2 linked regions of the Neodiprion lecontei genome follow. The protein of the gene in region 1 binds, or shares a complex with, the protein of each later gene. Links are inferred from orthologs where the notes say so. Each region holds a gene or a part of one and is shown in the gene's direction. Other genes may lie near its edges.

The links.
Region 2: the proteins of voltage-dependent calcium channel type A subunit alpha-1 (region 1) and uncharacterized protein LOC107224707 are in contact, whole or in part, in a crystal structure (PDB 4Z8A), measured with the Drosophila melanogaster proteins. The link is inferred for Neodiprion lecontei from reciprocal best matches to the Drosophila melanogaster genes cac and Rbp. Residues at the interface, in NP_001245639.1 of Drosophila melanogaster: Ile1688, Gly1689, Arg1690, Arg1691, Leu1692, Pro1693, Pro1694, Thr1695, Pro1696, Lys1698, Pro1699, Ser1700, Thr1701, Leu1702; in NP_732029.4 of Drosophila melanogaster: Ile1353, Leu1355, Tyr1356, Tyr1358, Leu1363, Pro1365, Asn1366, Val1367, Asp1368, Val1372, Glu1373, Thr1378, Gly1379, Asp1391, Gly1392, Phe1393, Leu1404, Pro1406, Ser1407, Asn1408, Phe1409.

What each region holds. Positions count from the first base shown.
Region 1 is NC_060262.1:32,355,383-32,364,968, forward strand, and holds the start of voltage-dependent calcium channel type A subunit alpha-1, read left to right. Parts: upstream 1-4,455; 5' UTR 4,456-4,663; intron 4,664-5,753; 5' UTR 5,754-5,899; intron 5,900-9,586. Other genes in the region: histone-lysine N-methyltransferase EHMT2, read left to right, coding at 35-210, 840-1,002. UniProt on the Drosophila melanogaster protein: Voltage-sensitive calcium channels (VSCC) mediate the entry of calcium ions into excitable cells and are also involved in a variety of calcium-dependent processes, including muscle contraction, neurotransmitter release, gene expression, cell motility, cell division and cell death.
Region 2 is NC_060262.1:35,314,933-35,324,679, forward strand, and holds the start of uncharacterized protein LOC107224707, read left to right. Parts: upstream 1-4,524; 5' UTR 4,525-4,810; coding exon 4,811-4,855; intron 4,856-5,257; exon of another isoform or gene 5,258-5,334; intron 5,335-5,346; exon of another isoform or gene 5,347-5,574; intron 5,575-5,683; coding exon 5,684-5,797; intron 5,798-6,910; coding exon 6,911-7,236; intron 7,237-7,644; coding exon 7,645-7,837; intron 7,838-8,022; coding exon 8,023-8,463; intron 8,464-8,735; coding exon 8,736-9,048; intron 9,049-9,156; coding exon 9,157-9,734; intron 9,735-9,747. Other genes in the region: alpha-tocopherol transfer protein, read right to left, coding at 892-1,166.

The sequences.
Region 1 (9,586 bases):
AGGTACAAGGGTGTGATTATTTGTTTTCATTTAGGATGGAGAAACGTACTGCATAGATGCAAGACGCTACGGTAATCTTGCTCGTTTCATAAACCATTCTTGTGCACCTAATCTTCTGCCTGTCCGAGTATTCGTTGAGCACCAAGATCTTCATTTTCCTAGGATCGCATTCTTTGCCAACCGAGATATTGATGCTGACGAAGAACTTGGGTACGTTAAACGAAACTGTTCGTCGTGTTAAGGAAGCAGTAATGGCAGTGATGTTTGTACGAATATTGTCGTGTAAAATAAAAGCTTTTTCTTTTGTTTTCGTTGCCTCATCATTATTATACTTCGTCATCATAATAGATCATTACTACTTAGAACCACCGCTTAAAATTGTGATGAATTTGTTCATTTTCTCTCTGTCGTCATGGTAGATCGGGCATTCAGTGTATTCAATTGCTCTGTTATGGGATAAAAAGTGTCGTAACTCACATTTAATTTTCAATTACGTATTTGCAATCATACACGATTCCAAAAATAAAGTTGATCTCAAATTATGACGATTGTTGAACTAATTTGAAAAATCCATAATCATGTCATGTCATGTCATCACTTAATACCACCCCTTTCAATTGATCCAAGGTAGGTAAGTCTTGGACAAATGTATCCACTCTGCAGTGAACGTATGCAATACCATCCTTTATGGGTAGTAAATATATGTCGTAAACGGAAAAGCTTAAAAAAAAGTTAGTGAAGTAGTTGGTATTATCGTGAATCTTGTGTTTCTCTTTATCTTCAACATCTTTATTTATATTAAATTATGCATATAAATGTATCGAAATTCCTTGTTTCAGTTTTGATTATGGCGAAAAGTTCTGGATTATAAAGTGCAAGTCATTTACTTGTACCTGTGGTGCTGAAGCCTGTCGATATTCGGAAACTACAATTCAATTCACGCTGGATAATTACAGAAGAAAAATTCAACAGGAGGAGCAGCTTGCTGCACAACTATCTTAATCAAAGACTTTTAGTTGGTGATTTTAGAAGATGTTGCGAGTTTTCTGTGAAATGTTTTCAAATGAAAAATGAATGACAAAGTTGAGCGTAAAAAATAATAGTAACAATGAAATGTCGATTAAAAAATTTTAAATCCCTGGAAGGCCTGATGTTATTCTGGCAGCATAGTTAACATAATTCAAAAGAGTTATACTGTCGACTGTTGTTTATCACGTGGACCATTATCATAATTTGATGTTGAAGCACCACTGCAACCTAATTATAGGTAATTAAGTTCATTTCGTTTAAGGTATTGGAATTTTGAAAGGGGTTGTAATTTCGTAACTGTTAAACTAATAGTAAAATTGCTGCAACCGCTTCAACTATAGATAAAATGCTTATTGATCATAGAAATCCTGGCGTCTTGAAACAGGGGAAAAAATGGAATATTTTGTCAGAGTTAATTCTGAAATTTGTAATATTCCTATGAAAAACTTGACATTGGTATAAAGTTTCTTATTCCAATTAAACTGGATACTCTAATGCACGTATTTATGAGGTATCTATATACGTTTTGCTTCAAGTAATAAATTCTTCCAAGGTTGAGATGAGTAATCAATGCATAAAACAATGAAATCGAATATATGAGTACAAAATTACTGTAAACGCTCGGATAAGATGTTTATGGAATTTTTAATTTGTTTCTTATAATTGCTATTTTAGGTATGATGATATTAATTTAAGAATTAGGTCATTATGTTTCTTCGATACCAAGCGTCGAGCTGCGGAATTTAGGCCTAATTTCGTCGACGAATATGAGGTGTAAATGTGATGTGAGGTGTAAACTCTATATGTGTATAGAGAGATCTATATATGTATATATATATATATACGTATATAGAGTATAAGTATATATACACACACATACATATACTGCCAGGATTTTTCTAGCTTGCGTTTTAGAAAATTGAAGGTCTGGAGTATATGAAACGAAATGTTTGTCATATTATGCAATTAAAAATTTACATCACTTGAAATGATTTACATGAGTTGTATACTATATCACAGCTGGTGCGGTTAACGTTTTTAAACGCGAAAACGGAACTGAAATATACTTTTGAAGTATATGATAAATATTCTCAATTGAATGTTTATTCATAAATCACGATACTTGTGCGGATAAATTGAAACAAATCATTATTATAATATGATAATCTGTGTAAAATAAATGTTTTTTTTTATTTGTACAAATAAAAAGGTTTTGATATTGTAAATCGTGACTGCAATTTCTAGCTTTGCATATTGTCGAAGTGCCGACTACGTAGATTTAATTATTTTGGTTTTCATCGTTACTGTGACGATTTTGGTACAATACATTTTTTCGGGCAATATCATTGGAGTTTCGTATCATTGTGTGCTCTAATATTTTGTTATTCAATCGTTGACCCCACTTGTTTTAATTCGATGAACCCTGACTTCTCCTCTGATGTGTTTAAAAGTTACGTACGTTGATTCAGGAACATGCAATTCGAATTATCGAAAATTATAATTAGACATATGGTAAAATTTACCACCTTGGTATCACTTCCTAATTAATAATTTTGACTTTCGTAGAGAGAACTGGCCCGCATAATACGGAACCGCAGAACCACACAGATTGGATGCACGGTCGGTTTACAGACGGCTGTCTGGCCCTGATACCATCCATTCGCAACGAGACACATTGTTATTGAGTATAGGTAACAATTGGTTCTTCAACCGTAATTAATTGGGTGAGCAAATAACAGAGTAATTTTCATTCGAAGATTATCGGTATCCCGGGGTATCGAACCTTTGTTAGCTAATGAATGGCTCCGCCGTGTAAATAATCCGCCCTAGTCACGTAAGAATTAGCTGGAGATTATTGTTGACGTCGTACAATTTATACGCTTGTAATTAAGACAATTTAACACCAAAACTAATGACGTTTCTTTCTACCGGTGCAACGATTAATTGTACTTACGAGGGCTAATTGGTTCAAGGCACATTTTTCATTAAACTGAATCAGCTCAATGTTGAATATATATTAAGCGTATCTTATATCTATAGTTATATATATTTTTTTGTATATCTGACACTTGTCGGACTGATGTCTTTTCTTTTTTTTTTTGCTAATTTTAGGAGATGAGCACGTTGTTCACCTGTGATTACCCATTTCAGAATTTAATTTGGCTTTCCAGTCCAGTATTGTGCAATGCTAATTGAAAAGTGTAAAAGATTTAGCTAATATAAAAAAAAAAACTCATGTCGACTAAAAATTCATACTGTTCGTCAAGGCTTTATTCTGAAATTTTTAATTACATTGACATTATATTACATTACATCATCCGTGGTTTTTATTTGCTATTTGTAAATAATCATCGAAAATATCGGCCATCCAGAGCTGACCTTCGACATAGCTGATGAGTAGAAAGGACCTCTACAAACGATGGGAGTGTTTATCACCCTGCGAAAAGTTCCGGGGGAATGCAGGTCACGTAGGTTCGAGAGGAGCCTCTTCACGCCTCACCGTACGGAACTGCAAATGATTGCCTCGTTTAGCTGGGAATCATGTCAAATAAAAACTTTCTGCGTCGACAGGCAATTGAAACGAAGGGGAGTTTGCCTCTTATACACTCATGCCGGTGCGCTTGTTGAAACGCTTCTACTGCATTATTATATCGTGAGTTTATCGAATAAATTAATGTTCATTGATGGATGCTTCGTAAGTGCGCGTGTTTATATCCATACACATTCGTTACTGTATACACGGTAATATGGCTCTCAGCTAATAAGCAATTTACCAAAAAGCAATTTTGGTGATACGCTCTAGTGGTTGATCGTTTATTGACATCAAGTACATAAAAAAACTTAACTTTCCCGTTGCATAAATTCATCATCACACACTCCGGTAAAACCGTAAAACCGTGCGTAACAGCACCAGGAAATATACTCCGTACATATTTGTAATAACTCCTCTATATTCTTCATACAAACGTTTGTTATAAGGCAAACAGTATAAGTGCCAGAATAAGTGATTTGACGTCGCACTGTTAGATTCTGGTGCTTTTCATTGCGCAGGGAAAAAAATTGTTTTGACACTTGACATTTTACGTAGAGTCAAGTCCCTCGTGGTTTATTTTTTCACCTTCAATACGCGTCATTAATTTGTGATGTTTCTTATTACTGCGGAATTATACGTCGCGTCGCGAACGTACAAGGGAGGAAGTCGACGGCCGACAAGACGCGCAGCTGCTACGTATTCCGCGATCGGTGTGTGTATTCATGCCCTAATTTCAACGTATGCGGTAGAAGCTTCATTCTCGTAAGAATGGAGCGAGGAAAACGAAGATGTAGAAGAAACGTCCTTTTCCTATACATCGACAAGGCCGTAGGCCGAACCTTTCGTGCCGATATCAACAGTAAACAAAAGAATGTGCGAGGTACACCACTGGCAGTCGACTCGGATCTCTCGCAGAGGCAAGAGTGCCGACGCGATTTTACGCGATTACACCTAATGTTTACCATCGTGTTTAATACGTGGCAATAATAATTGTGCTTCGAGTATTGTGAGATGTGCTTTTTAGTGAATTAGTCTTCTGCTCTGTGGTAAAGGGGATGTTTCCTCTTCGTCGATTCTAACGATAAGTGGATTATCTGAATGGTAAGCTTGAACATACCGGAAAAAGGATTTCTCGTCTCCAGATATTAGCATTTTAATAACGCGTGCATTTTGTCGACAAGGATAGTGCGGTGTCGACGCATTGAATTATTTGCGCGGAAACTCTCGGGGATATATCTATGGTATATAACTATATACGTACCTATACGCAATTTATTTGATTTGAATATGATGGCGAGCAATTGCATTGTCTGTTTTAAAACTCACGCGGTGGGTGAACGATAAATGAATAATGCATGTCATTACGATAAATTTTTAACGATTCGATTGTAATGTGATCCGGTGAATGTGGGCTGTAATTTTGAAAATCGCGTGATCTAATCACCTGCTGGTATTGATCCGAAATATTGAGGTAATGCAGGTGTATCTCCTTAGAAGGTATAACTTGTTATAGCTTGAGGCAATTATACGGAAATTACAAACGAAGCTTGATTTTATAATAAATGAAATACCGAAACACAAGGGGAAAAGAATACGATTTATTATTCTTTTAGAATTTTTTGCTTCTTGTTTATTCTTCCGAAATGAGTTTTAGGCTGGTGCGAGTATGTTTTATAACTTTCGATCCCTTACCTCCAAACTCCCCTCCCTCTCAACAAGATTGATTGTACGCGATAATAGGTTCCCACAGTTTCTGTATAAGTTTAAGATCACTTATATATTGAAAAAAATTAAATTCTTACATAACGATCGTGCGCAACAAATTAATATCACATGCTTTCTGTATACGATTTGCACTATAAATCGAACCGACCGGAGGAAACGTCGAAACAAAAAATACGGAGGTGGAAAAAAACAAGAAATCTAAGGGATTTGGAGATTGTCTTTGAGACGGCGTTTGGCGGTATGCGATTGGTTGTAACTCGCGATTGCGCAGGCGCTGGCTTGAATTTCATTGGTTACGAGCTTGCGGAGTTCGAAATTCAATTGAAAGCGCCAGTTAGTGTAGCGACCGTGCGGCGCTTGCAGGCGCTACGCGTAGCCTGCGTAGCTTTAGTTAACGGTGCGCGCGAGTGAATTTTTAGTGGATATCGAACAATCGTTTATGTGATAAATAATGAAATTATTCCAGAAAATCAGTGATAGTGGTAAGCGGGTGGTGATTAATGTTGAAATAGAGGAATAGAAAAGACGACCAGAAGAATAGAATGCCCAGCTGACGGATACCCGATCTTTTTAACACTCAAGTGGAACTGAAGATTGCAGAGACGGTGGAAGGTAAGTTTTACAACGCAACAATTCAGTCTTTCATTGTCCATACCGAATTCCTCTCGTTACACTCGCTTGTATTCAATGAGACCAATTTTTGCTACCCCGTCGCTCCGCTTCTCTGTTAATTTTTACTACGATTTACCCATCTATCCGTAGGGTATAAAGCATTTTCCCATCGCCTGCTGTACACGAAAAATTGTTCGTAATCAAACTTCCTCGGCACAATGCCGAGTTGACAGTTCAGTATTTGCAATATTTGCGATATTTTTAGCACGTATAGATAGAATACCTGTTGCGTACAAATTGGATCGGGTAGAGTATCTTGATCGGCAAGCGAAGTTTTTATCAGGTACAAAGTAATCTCAAAGGTTGGTGCTCGTCTGAGGACTTTCAACTACCGTTGAGAAGGAAATGTCATTCTGTGAGTCTGAATTACCGGAACGAGTATTAGTCCAGAGCAATCCACTCGACTCGACAATGTTCTCGACATCCTTTTGTTACTTTGTCGGAGGGGAAGCTGTTTGCCGATTGTGTAAGATCGTACCGATATATGCGCGGGGGTCCTTCAGGTGTGTTGGTTACAAGGAAAAATCTCGGCAATGAGGGTGGGATAAAAGAATAGCGAGGGGGGCAAAAGCGAGGGACCTACAATAGGCATTGGACGAGTATATAGCGAACGCGTCAGTTTTGCATTTGCAGAATTTCGGAATTCAAACGCCCCGAGTTTGACGAAGTATCGCAAATTCCCTATCGATCTGCGGGTGTGTTACTTGGATAATTTTCAAACAAAATAAGTAAATAGAGTGAAACAAGTAAGTAATTAAAATAAGGAACGCTGCAACAGGTACAAACAAATTTTGTCGCTTGTATTCCGAAATCGTATGGCAGGAAACAATAAACTCCCTCGATTACTTTCCGTTGAATGATATCTACCTGCGAAGTGTTCATGTAAAAGTTGAGTGGAATTCTCTCGAACCAATGTTCACTTAAAGGTGTAGAAAGATACTCACAATTTGTTTTCAAACGAATTCAGAAGTCTCAGTAAGGCCTTATTAAATAAAAAAGAATAAAAAAAAAATGAAGTTGTTAAATTACAAGGGGGAAAAAAGTTTGAAAGTCTACAGTAGAAAAAATGAGTGGTTTATTTCAATTTAACGATTGAACGTGTAATGCGTTCTAGTATGGTATAAGCGCTGTAGCATTTGAATTTTTCAATCGAAAAATAAGCTTAAAAAAAATTCAAAATAGCTATAACGGGACAATATACGGGGTAGAAATCCCAAGGGAGAACTAAGTTAAACATCTGAGAACGGATAAACATGGATAAAGATCAAAATACAAGACAGAAGAGATCTTAACATACGGAAATACCGAGTAACGCTAAACGTTTCAGATTCTACAGGTAGCATTGATCGGAGCAAGACAATATGCGATAGCAGCTTCCAGGTGATTTACTTGAAAAGTTACCCAAGTCACGTTGAAACTACGATGCACAATAACTCTCCGTTTATGGGCCCGGTAATAAGATAGTAGGTATATACACTTTTCAAATGGGTAAATTGACTTTCGGATGAGAATTGAGCTTGCAAGATATTATAACGAGGCAAAAATTAATGAGCAGAAAAATGACAGGGCGAAAGTAAAGGACTATTTATTAACGTGACGGGAGATTTCGATTTGCAAAAGCTCTACGCGCTCTAGCTGTCAGGTGCAAAAGTTGAGTTCGTAAAATTTGCAAAAAAATGAAAACGGTGATTAATAGATGTTCGGAAGAATGCCGGGGATAAAGAGGAATTGTTCGCGGATTCTCGCGCGGGTGACAAATTACGCGTACACCTAATACTCTCGGTTCACGGTCCGATTTCCGGTTCGTATTGTAGTCTTGTGAATTACCGACGGACCCAGTTGCGTCGGGTTCCCTCTTCATGGGCTCGGTCACTCCTGAAGTTGATTACCGAATCGCGGAGATAAGCATCAGCCGTCAACAATTTCGAGTGGAAGCACTAAAAGTAAATCAGCGAGAAATGACAAACAGCTAAAAGCGTTTCGGACCGGAAGGATCGAATAGGTTTTCGCAAATCAATACGGTTAATGGAAAATTGATTGTACACCACGCGCTGGACAAATCACCGATGCGTGGTTGAAATTAAAACGTAGAAGCGAATCACTTGTATAATAGTTGCTGGTATTTTTTTGGCTGGATGTGAAGGTTCTTGGAATCGCGAAAAAAAAAAAAATGTTAAAAAAAAGTCACAGCTTTTAACACACATGAGCAGGAATAAAATTTCATGAGCTTATGACGGGCAGTGAGAGTAATTGAATGGAGGTTTAGCTTAGTAAAGAGAATGGATAAATATGAAATAAAGAAGAAATAAAAATCGAAAATATAATATTAACATTATTATTATTACGTTTATAATACATTATATATATTATTAACAGAGCGCGCTAAAAGTGTGTGGAAAGAACTCTGGCTAATTTTTATTCCACCTGCAGAGATTTTTAATCTTAGAAAGTACGACAAACTGGAAATTTTTCAGTTGTCGACTTAAAATGTTCGCAATATATTTACAGATGATTATTTCTTATCGTATAATCCTTCTACTCACGAAAATGCCATGTTTGTGCGTCATAGTTATAAAAAGAATAAGAATTCTGAAAAATGCTTCGTGAGCAGGATTTGTGAAAGGTGGTATAAATTGAGCCCTGTATATAAAAATAGAAGGGATGAAATTCGCCGGTATAACTGAGATATATGTATACCGGCCGGGTGATGGGTATGGATGAGAATAAGACGCATTGAAGTTTACAACTGTGGAAAATGGTGTTGGGTCGCGTCTGACTTGTCGTGCGTCAAGAGATAAAAAATATTGGCTCAGAGTGAGGATTGTCAAACCGGTTACGAACTCGCGAAGCTAATCCTCAATTCGATGTTATTGATTTTTTCACCAATCATGTTTTATCCGAAGATAAATATACGCTGCAGGCGTTCCACATTTATTGCGTGCAAATAATCGAGTACCTGTAAAAAAATTGGTGTGAAAATTCTCGTGCTGTTGATTTAGTCCACAGTCGAAGCTTTTCAAATGAATACGAATCCGCGGCATTCATTCAGCTGCAAATCATATTGGATCGAAGAAATAAAATCGCGAAGAGAGCCATCCACAATTTGGAACAAATAAATTGCTAGAAATGTAAAAATACGTCGCAACTCAAATGAATAATTTATCCGACGTTCTGTAAAAAGTCTACATAAGTATGTATATCTTGAATAAACGAAACTCGCAATGTTGAGTAAAGAAATTATTATTAGTCGAACGCAATGAGTTTTCAAGTTTCTAACAAAATCTTCTTTTCTACTGTATCCAGCTCATTTCCGTAGAATCAAATAAATATACAGTCGGTAAAAAATTAAATGGACCCATAGTATATTTATTTTTTTATGTTCATCCATGCAGATGAAAAATGCCGTATAATGTTTGTTTGTTTTTTTTTTTTTGCGTCAAAAGCCACTGTCGAAACTTTGTAATGGAATATTGGAGGTGAGAAATAAATGAGAGAGTTCGATTAAAAAAGTCTTCGACCTCACGCCAGAGCTCGATTAACCGGACTTCCGGTACTTGTCTTTCTTCTCTGCGTGTCAGCGGTAAGCTCAATCAAACTATTTAATTAAACTTTTGGCGAACCTGCTGC
Region 2 (9,747 bases), about 3.0 Mb from region 1:
TCAACCGCAGCCAAAGGAATGTCGTAACAATTTGCGAAAAACACAGCTTGTTCAATACGTTGGTCAATACACATACCTGAGCTTTAAAAGTGGAAACAGTTTTTCATCGAGCGTTCAATTTTATTAAACTTACATGTGAAGGTGAATGCACATCCAGACGATGCACGTGACGTTTAAAGGAGACGTTCGAAATTTCATTTAGATATCATTTACATATCATAGTTCAAATGGAAGGCAGATTAATGATACTCCTTGCTGGATTACGTATAGAAACATATCATTGCGTCAGGGTACAACGTTGTTTGTGTCTCATATCGATTAAGAAATTAAACGGAAAAGATGTTTGACGACTTTCACAGCCACGTAGCTACAGGAAGTTTCAGAGCACAGACATTTCCCATTAAAGGGTATCAAGACACCTATTATCGGTATTTTACTAGCTGAAGCTGAAGACTGATGTACGAATCCCGCGAGTAAGCAAAATATGAACGGCTCACCGTGTATGAATGGAATTGTTTATCGGAGTGCAGCGGTATATTATAAGAATCTGGAGTATAGTAGACGGGAGGAGAAATTGATTGGATCGCAGTATAGGTATACGGTATGTTTGTAACCTTAGAGTCCTGTTATTGGCAGCTGTGTAAATTGCACTGTAGAAGTATTAATTGCCGATTCACGAAAAAAGCTATTACGTCTGCAATTCTGGAATATTACCATGGAAAACTTTCACTTATTCATTACTCCTGACTGTTACTCTACGCGGGAAAAGATACTGTGGTAGATCATATAAAATTATCTATTTAAATGAATTAGAGCGTACTGTAAAATCTTAGGTAAATCATCTGCTATGCGGGATAACAGTTACGAATATAATTAATTTGTCAAACGTACAGTGCTCGCAATGAATGCTGCAGACATTCCATCTTGGGATCACGGTTGGCAAAAAACTCGGGAATTGTCGCCCTCATCCTGTAGTAAACACTCATGCAGCGAAGGGTGGCTTCCCTGTCGTAATAGCAGCTATGGGTGAACAGAGCCAATTGTTCGACAGGAACACCCGGGATGCCTCTGGCTTCCGTCCACTTTTGCAGATCATCCAAGACCTCATCGGTGAGTTCCGGGTACTTGGCACGAGAGTCTTGAATCGTATGTCCCAAATGCATCATGACGAAGCAGCTTGAACAACTGTTAGTTTATGTTGGCTGTTTGACCTGACGATGAGCATTCACCTCACGCTACAACACAAGTGATGGGAGAAAAATGATACCTACGGTGATTGGAGAAAATTTTTTTTTATCCTTAATGATATAAAATGACAGCCACCAACTAACGTCGTATTGTCATGTTATAATTTTAGACTCGCTTGCGTTTTGATCCTTATCTAGTATAATGGACTTCACAATTGCGGAAAGCAATGTACGCAAAACGCAGTACGATAAAACGGTTCGTGGTATCGCTCGAGCAGTTACGATCAGAGACTGACCACAGTACATGCATGCGGTTTCGACGTACGAGTATCGTAATCCAGCCTATATTCCCTGAGCAGGGTGGCAACTTCTTCTCTTCATTTAATTAAGCATTGTCTGCGCCTTTGATTTAATTCCATGCGTCACTTCTCATTCATTACTATGCGTAACTATTTCCATAATGTCCCGGTATTTATATGTCTCACGTGTTTTGCATGTGACCGTACAGCGTATATAACATACGAATTATTCCCAGTTGCTCAGTTTCGCGGACGTAGGTGAATTATTCCGAATTTAAAATGCAGTAGGCCGCGCAGTAATCGTAAACATCATTTATACGCTCGGAAACCGTATAAGTCTGTTTGAGCCGCAATAAAATTGTTCAAAACTAAATAAGTAGGATATTGTATAACAAGGAGGCAAACTCGGCGAACAAGTACACGAGGCCAGAAAAGACCGTTGCCTTCTTGTTGCAAGCGATTCTATATGTATAAACAAGAGTATGTTACACGTTTTTTCACAAAGCTCGAATTCGAAGTTCGGGTCGCGTGATGTCAGATTTGTTCGCGACAGCGCATGCGCGCAGTACTGAAAAGACCACTTTCAACTCCTAGGATTTAAATGTGGTCTTTTCAGTACTCCGCGCAGGCGCATTCATAGACTAACCCAGCCGTCTTAAAAACGGGTATTTTCTGTACGAAAAACACACGTGGAAAAACGCGTAAAACATGCTCGCGTTATATAAATATGTTTCTTTTTTTTTTACTTGGAGCACATGAAATTTGCACATTCCTTTGCCACATCATACGTCGTGCGTGAACGAGCTGTATATTTATATTTTCGAGTACAGCCTAGCAGCGATTCGCGATGTCACGCTTTGACACAAACCTCAAAACTTGTAATTAGACGATCTACTGGATTTCATCGACTACATGATCGTGGTCGTCAGTTCAACAGACGTAACGAAGTTTCAGTTCAACATACAGACAGAAGAATGAATGACCCGATTACGATTTACAATTAGTTCGTTTTCCATTCCGCTGTGTTTCCGTATTTTGATTTTTACCCCGTAATACTTACAATTACATATTCTTCGTTAGTTTGCCATATTTCCAAGATGTTAGTTCATGCCAACGATACGAACATCTTAATCCTTGAACCATATCTGTAGTTTCCAGTGTGGTAGCATGGTCCAGTTATCGCGGTTTATAGTGATACTTCGTACCTTTTTCGTATAACGCAGGTACTAGAACTAGCATTCACGTATGAACTTGTTGCGGTGTTCCTCTTCATACGCACTATTAACATATTTTGCTGTAATACCGCAGTGTCAAATTATATACTTCAGCCTATGGAGGTAAACATCAACGCATTAGCTATGCCATTAATTAATTTAATTGTCAAATTAACAGCAGCAGTTCTGCATCCATTGCGTCACGTGTACTCATATTCTGATTCAAGCCACACTGCAGATTTTCGAACAAGATATTGGGTATTCATTTTTCATCCATCTCGGAATGGAGCAAGGCCCTCAAACTTAATCTGAGCGGTACCAAACATCCCGAGATCGGATCGTCTATCGGCTGCCAATTTATCCGCCATGTATAATCGAGAACTATGTTTGGACTAGCATAAGAAACATTCCATCACAGAATTCACGGAGAACGTTTTCTCGAATCAGTATAATACGTATAGTTCGTTCGATCGGTGAAAAATCCATTTATACTTGTACGACCACAATGTAAAAAAGTTTTCCGTTTGGCACGAAAATCTATACACATGTAAAGAAACGTACCGGATAATCATGATCCGTGATCTACGATTAAGCCCCCCGATTGGTATCATAGTCGCGTGAATCACGCTTGGAGATCTACCTATACAGGGGTTTGTAAAACATAGAAACGGCAGGGCCTTCGGGTGTGAGCAATCGGGCAAACCGAATACGGAAATTGCGTGCAGCAAAGACCTTATAGTAATCCCCGCTGCTGGGTAGGGGCGCAGTGGAAAGGCCGACGGTGGACGACGTTTCCGTTCGGTACCACACCGAGACGAGCCCGACGACCAATCGCGTACCGACGACGTACGTTCATTGATAAGCGCGTACTCCGGACGGTCGGGTGCGGGGTGTTCCTCGAATAGAACGTGACGTCATGTAGGCGGCCGGTAGCGCCGACGCCGAGGGCATATGCGCGAGCGTCGCCGGCCGTGATTTCGGGGTTTCGGGCGTCGAGCGGGGTGGTTTCAAAAAGGATTTCGGGGCAGCGCGGATCACGGCCCTTGCTGCTCGCGGATCGTCAAGGTGACCTTGGGCCTGCGATAACCGTTATACGTGGAATTATCACTCGGGGGGGATATGCCAGAGGGTTGCAGATATCGGAGATTGTCGGCTATATTGATTGGTCTTTTGTGCGAAAGCAGCCACTACACCTCCTGTCTAGCTCTCTTTCTCTAGGAGCGGAGCGCGTCATCGATCCGCGAGTGACCCATATCCGTTGCCACTCCTCCCACCTCCCAGCTCCCACCTCCCGCCACCCCCAACCCACCCCGCTCGCCTTTTTTCCCCTTGTGCCTCTCGCAGCAGCCCTGCCTGCTGCCAACGAGCAGATCTTCGCGGGTTCGGGATGATAATCCAGTGAAACTCACTCCGCGACGAACTCCACCTGCAACAGCAGCCCTGGCCTGCCAAAATCCCTTCAATTCGGTCATCGTAAGTTTCAAACTTAAGTCTTTATTTCTTCATTATTATCATGACGGTATAAGGCACCGTATAAGGATCTTCGCTGATCCTCATTCGCCCTCTCATTATCATTTTTACATCCAGTGTCGTGTCGGCTTTGTTACGGGCCCCGATATTACCCTCGATGGCGGTCTTGTCATTCGAGAGAAAATGATGCTACGAACATTCGGCTATGGCTACATCGTCTATCGTGATGATGGTAATGGTTGTGCAGGAGCATTGTAGTGGTCGTGGTTGTAGCGGTTCAGTGGTTTGTGCGCGCCCGGTACGCGGTTGGTGATCAATAAGCAGTGTCGTATCAATTCTGGGTGCTGTTCGGCGTTATCTGATGATATCTGAACGGTTGTTGCCTTCAGCCATCTTCACCCGACACCCTGGTCCAAAGTGTATATCTCGTTACAATTTCTCTCTCGAAAGTTCAACTTGTCCGAATTTCTGTCCCACTTGATTGCGATATCTGCAGTTACGGAATTATCGGTCTCGCTTCTTCCGCATAAAACGCGTTATTTTACCAGTATATCGAGGTGATTTCATAATAAATACGGAAATATTTCAAGTTTTATGAGAGAAGCTTGATAAGTCCCGTCAACGTTAAGCGTTCCAAAGTATGAAGACTCGTTATTGTCAGTTTCAACTTACGCTCAGTGATCAGGTACAAAGTGTAGTTCATCACGGTATTTCGTAAATTTGTAAGACATGCATCCGTGTGCATGAATGTGGCTCTGTATATTATTAACGGTAACAATATATAGTGCTGTTATTGCGAAATTGTTGCAAAAGATTGAAATAAAAAACAACAGTAGCAGGTAAAGGTTCAATAATCATGATGCAATGCTACAGCTGGTAGACAATTATAAGAATCATCGATCGTTCTGCCGATTTCGTCTCGTTTCCATTATCGTTCCATAGTAAATTTTCATTGCGACCCCCGTTCCGGAATTCGGTAGTCATCTAGGCGCGGAGACGACGATAAAGGTGGTGCCGCTCGCTCGAGTTACGCCACTGTAGACGAGTGGGGGGTGGTTTTCTCCGTCGGTTTTCGTCGTCCTCCGACGCCCGCCGTCGCGGCGTTCCGTCAGTGACGGTGGCGGGTTCCAGCAAACGGTGGGCCGACCCTTGGTCACTCGAACTGTACGTTACACGTCCGAAAGATAGTCGGGATTTGGGTTGAACCCGATTTTTTTGTTCCTCGCTTTTTCTGCATACTTTTTATCGCCTGTACCTTCATCTTCCGTCATACCCGTGGCTGAAGAATGATGACGAATAATACGAGACGACCTCAGAACGAAGGGTCACTTTTTTCTTGATAAACACCTCGACCCCTTTTTTTCTCTACCCTTTCATCAGAGTAGCCACTGTCTTGACCGCAATGTACAGTATACTATTTCTCCAACGAGATAGAGATTCTAGTGTCGGAAATTACATCCTCTGAATTGATTGTCGGGTTTAAGCAGTGATCAGATAACTGGATATGTTACAGTGCTGCGGCGTTGGAGGTGGAGGGGCATCGACGGGGCCCCAGCCGCCACAACTGCAGGGGACCAACACAAGAACCACCATCATGCAAGACCCCGTCCTTGAAACTATCCTCGAGGTGAGTAACTCAGGATGAACTGATTCGACTCGACGGGTGGTCCCGAGGGCTTATATTGTATCTTTCAATTTTCGAATTTTTAATCCGAGTTCACTGATTGGTCAAGCAATGATTCCGATTGGCTGAAAGACCGGTCAAATTTGAAAGTACGCAGCAGAATAGACCTTTTATGGAATGTTACCCTTATACTTTAGTGTGTATCGAATTGCATGATAGAGAAACAAAAGTACGCCGCACCTTTAATTAATGCAATAAATTCAAGTAACTAATTTATCTGACTATGCAGAATTATTATTCATATGCTGGGTATAACGAACGGAATTTAGAAAAGTTTAAATCTACCGTACTTGCCCGGTATCAGCTTCTAATAACTTTACGTAAATATTATGCAAGAGTTGATAGTATAATATGTTATAATGCACTTTCACGACACTCCCGTAGGGTCGCGTTTCAAACCCGCTCACACCGCACACGGTATGTGTACCAACGTGTACGTATTGCCGGCCTGTTAAGCTGAGCGAAAAATACCGAGGAATGTTTGATATGCGTTCAGTTGCCTAACGTAATTTTAATAACCTTTATGAGGCTACACGCTACCGTATTGGATTTTCAACACAACTTAATACCATGTAGCTCCGCAGGCTCAAAGGGCCTTTTCTGGGCTGATTCCTTTCCAATTTCATGATGGCGTTGCGCGTTCTTACGGTGGCGGCGATTTTCTAGCGCATGTCTTACTTCACTGCTAAACCGTCGTTTCCGAATGTTGAGCTTTAGACAGCGTTGACGCTTCAATAATACGCAAATCTCCTTAATTCGATTTTCGCTTATCGTACATATACTCCTCCAGCTTTAGTTAGATATTCAGCTATCCTACTCGACTTCGAATTTGACAGCTTAGCACAGCCGGCCACAGCAATGAAATCCACAGGCATGTCTATGCAACTATTTTTTGAACTACAATACAAGACCCTCAAATAACTCTGCGAATAACCGTAATTCTACCATGAGGTTCGGATGAATATCCGAAATATAACCCAACACTCTCAGCAATTATATATCTCTATCTTAAAATGAAATAATCTAACGTAGCAATTCGTTCGTTTCATTCTGTAGCAAATGCGAGAGGCCGAGGCCCGCAGAGCAGAATTGGAGAGGCAACATGCGGAGACGCAGGCGCAGTTACGTGACAAGTTAGCTGGCCGGTATCCAGGACCAGAGTCTGTTGAAGCACTGCAATCGAAGATTAGGGAACTCGAAAAGAAAACAGAACTCCAGATGGTTAGACACGAAGAACTGTCCCTAGAGCTGACCAGCTTGAGACGGGCACGTAGCAGAGGACCGGTTGCTAGCAACGTGACTTCAACAGTCCCTATGTCCACGTGGCCCCCTGCTGGTTCTGAAATTGATCGAATTATTGCCAAAATTGAACAGGACAACAGGTGATAGTCATGGTGTAATACAAATCTATGTGCTTCATTAAGCATTTCATTCAGCTTCATAACGCTACATACTTACCAGATTTTGCTAATAGAATCACCCACATAAACCAGGGAAATATATTGTACCATGTAAAATTAGATATGACACCTTATTACTAAAAGTAATCAATGTGTCCAGTGGTTCTTGTAATGTAAATATAAACTGATGTGGCTCAAATGACGCATCGAAAATTCAATTGCAATACACTGGTCGACCAAAAATATCCAGTTTGTGTGATATAAATAGTCAGAATGCTAGTAACGTAATAAGTAGAGGGTGTTATTTGAAAATGCCTTAGAAACCTTGTACCACCTACATTCATTCCATCTAATTCTTTCTGTCTTTTAATTTCGATTACACACACTCAGCTTAAGTAAAACCAGTGCCAGTAGGATTCTGCACGAGTTGGATCATTCGAGGAGCAACGTGACAACTCAACAGCCTTCTGGTTCCCAAAGTATATTACGTTCAAGTTCAGAAAATCTTCCCAACTTGGGGCAACATCAGCACCCTCCACATCCGCATGCATTAAACCTTGGTCTACCGTCACAAACATCACACGTGAGTTGTCATTGATAAATAAGCTACGATTTTATTGCTCTATAGAATATATAGAATGACTCTTTCAACACTAGTTTCTAATACCTGCACAGCTTTCTTTGTATGGTAACATTATTGTACTAACTTATCTGAAAAAATATTTGACAATATAGTAAGTTACTCATGCTGATATCTGTAATTAATAGTACGCTGGCTCTCCGATGCCATTAACACCAATGATGCCTGGCTGTCCACCGTTAACACCAAATGGTCCACCGTACCACTACAGCGAGCCGATTCCACCTGCACCATCTCTTTCAACTAGCCAATCACAGCCTGCGTTTCAGCAGAAGCTACAACAATATCAGCAACAACAACAGCAACAGCAGCACGAACTATCAAGCTCGCACTCACAAGGCACCCTACCGTCTCAACAGAAACAACTACAAACACACACGCAGTTTTCCGGCAGTCAATATCAAGAAAGTTATCCACATACACAAACGTACCAACAACCAATACAGCAACAACAACATCCTGTTTCAACTTCGTACTTAACTTCTGCTACCGGAGGTCAGAATGTCATGCCTCATTATACGCAACCGAGTCAGACAAATCAAGGCTATCAACTCAACGGTACTCAACAGGTAGGTTTTTCCAGCAACAATAATACGAACATTGGTCAAGAATTTTTCCAAGCATGTTTCTTTGCTTTTTATTACACGCGAATACCTGGTGAATAAAAAATTGGAAAACATAGTCATTATAAAATATTGTAATATACTAGCAAGTTAAGATTCATGGTAAAGAAGACCCAGGCAAAATGTACATGATGAACAGTGAAAATATGTAGATTTCATAAAAATGACTTACATCCTCTAATTTTATCATGTCAATGGATTATTTTTTATCTCATTAGCAGACAACATACCCAACGCTGTCCATGACTTCTCATCCCAATGGAACTTACAACTCTGTAACAACCAGTTATGCATCGCAACTGACTCATCACAACTATTCTGGACCACATACAAGTATCCCCCAGACAACACTTTCTTCTCTTCCACCATATTCGACAACAACACCTGCCTATCACTCAACATTGGGTACCTTGACTAGCTCCTCACAAAATATGCTTCCTTTTTCAACTGGGCAGAGCACGTTTTCGACTGCTGGTTCTAACTACTCTACAGTTGGAACAAATGCATACGGCACGTCAGGAGTGAACACAGGTATAAATGATGTACCACTGATTAAAAAAATTCTCCTACCAATTTTTCACACAGCATACAACTTATTTGTATCATACAAGTTCATAACTTGTTTTTATTACAAATTAGGTCCTACTTCAAGTGGCTTATTACAAGCTATAGGAGATCCCCTCCAAGCTATGCAACAGTTGTCGGCGCAGTCACAAGCTAGCCAACTCCAACAACAAGCTATTATACATCAAATTCAACAGAGCTTGCGAGCCAGCTCGCCAACCGCCACTGGATCAACTGGTCACCACTTTTTGGGACCGAGACAAATGCCAAAAATCCCAACAGGCATTTTATCCAATCCAATGGATCGTCTGACTAATGACAATATGGTGTCTGAAGGACAAGTGGACATGTTAGATATTCCTGGAAAAGGCAGGTGTTATGTTTACATCGCACGGTTCAGCTACGAACCTTTCCAGCATTCGCCTAATGAAAACCCTGAAGCTGAGTTGCCTGTACAAGGCGGAGATTATCTTTTGGTATGGGGACAGCCTGACGACGATGGTTTTCTTGATGCAGAGACGCTAGATGGTCGACGAGGCCTCGTACCAGCAAATTTCGTTCAAAAATTGGTAGGAGATGATCTCTTAGAATTTCATCAAGCTGTTCTGGGACTCAGAGATGTTGATGATGCCGCTTCCACTAATATACCGCAAGTCAGTATAACAT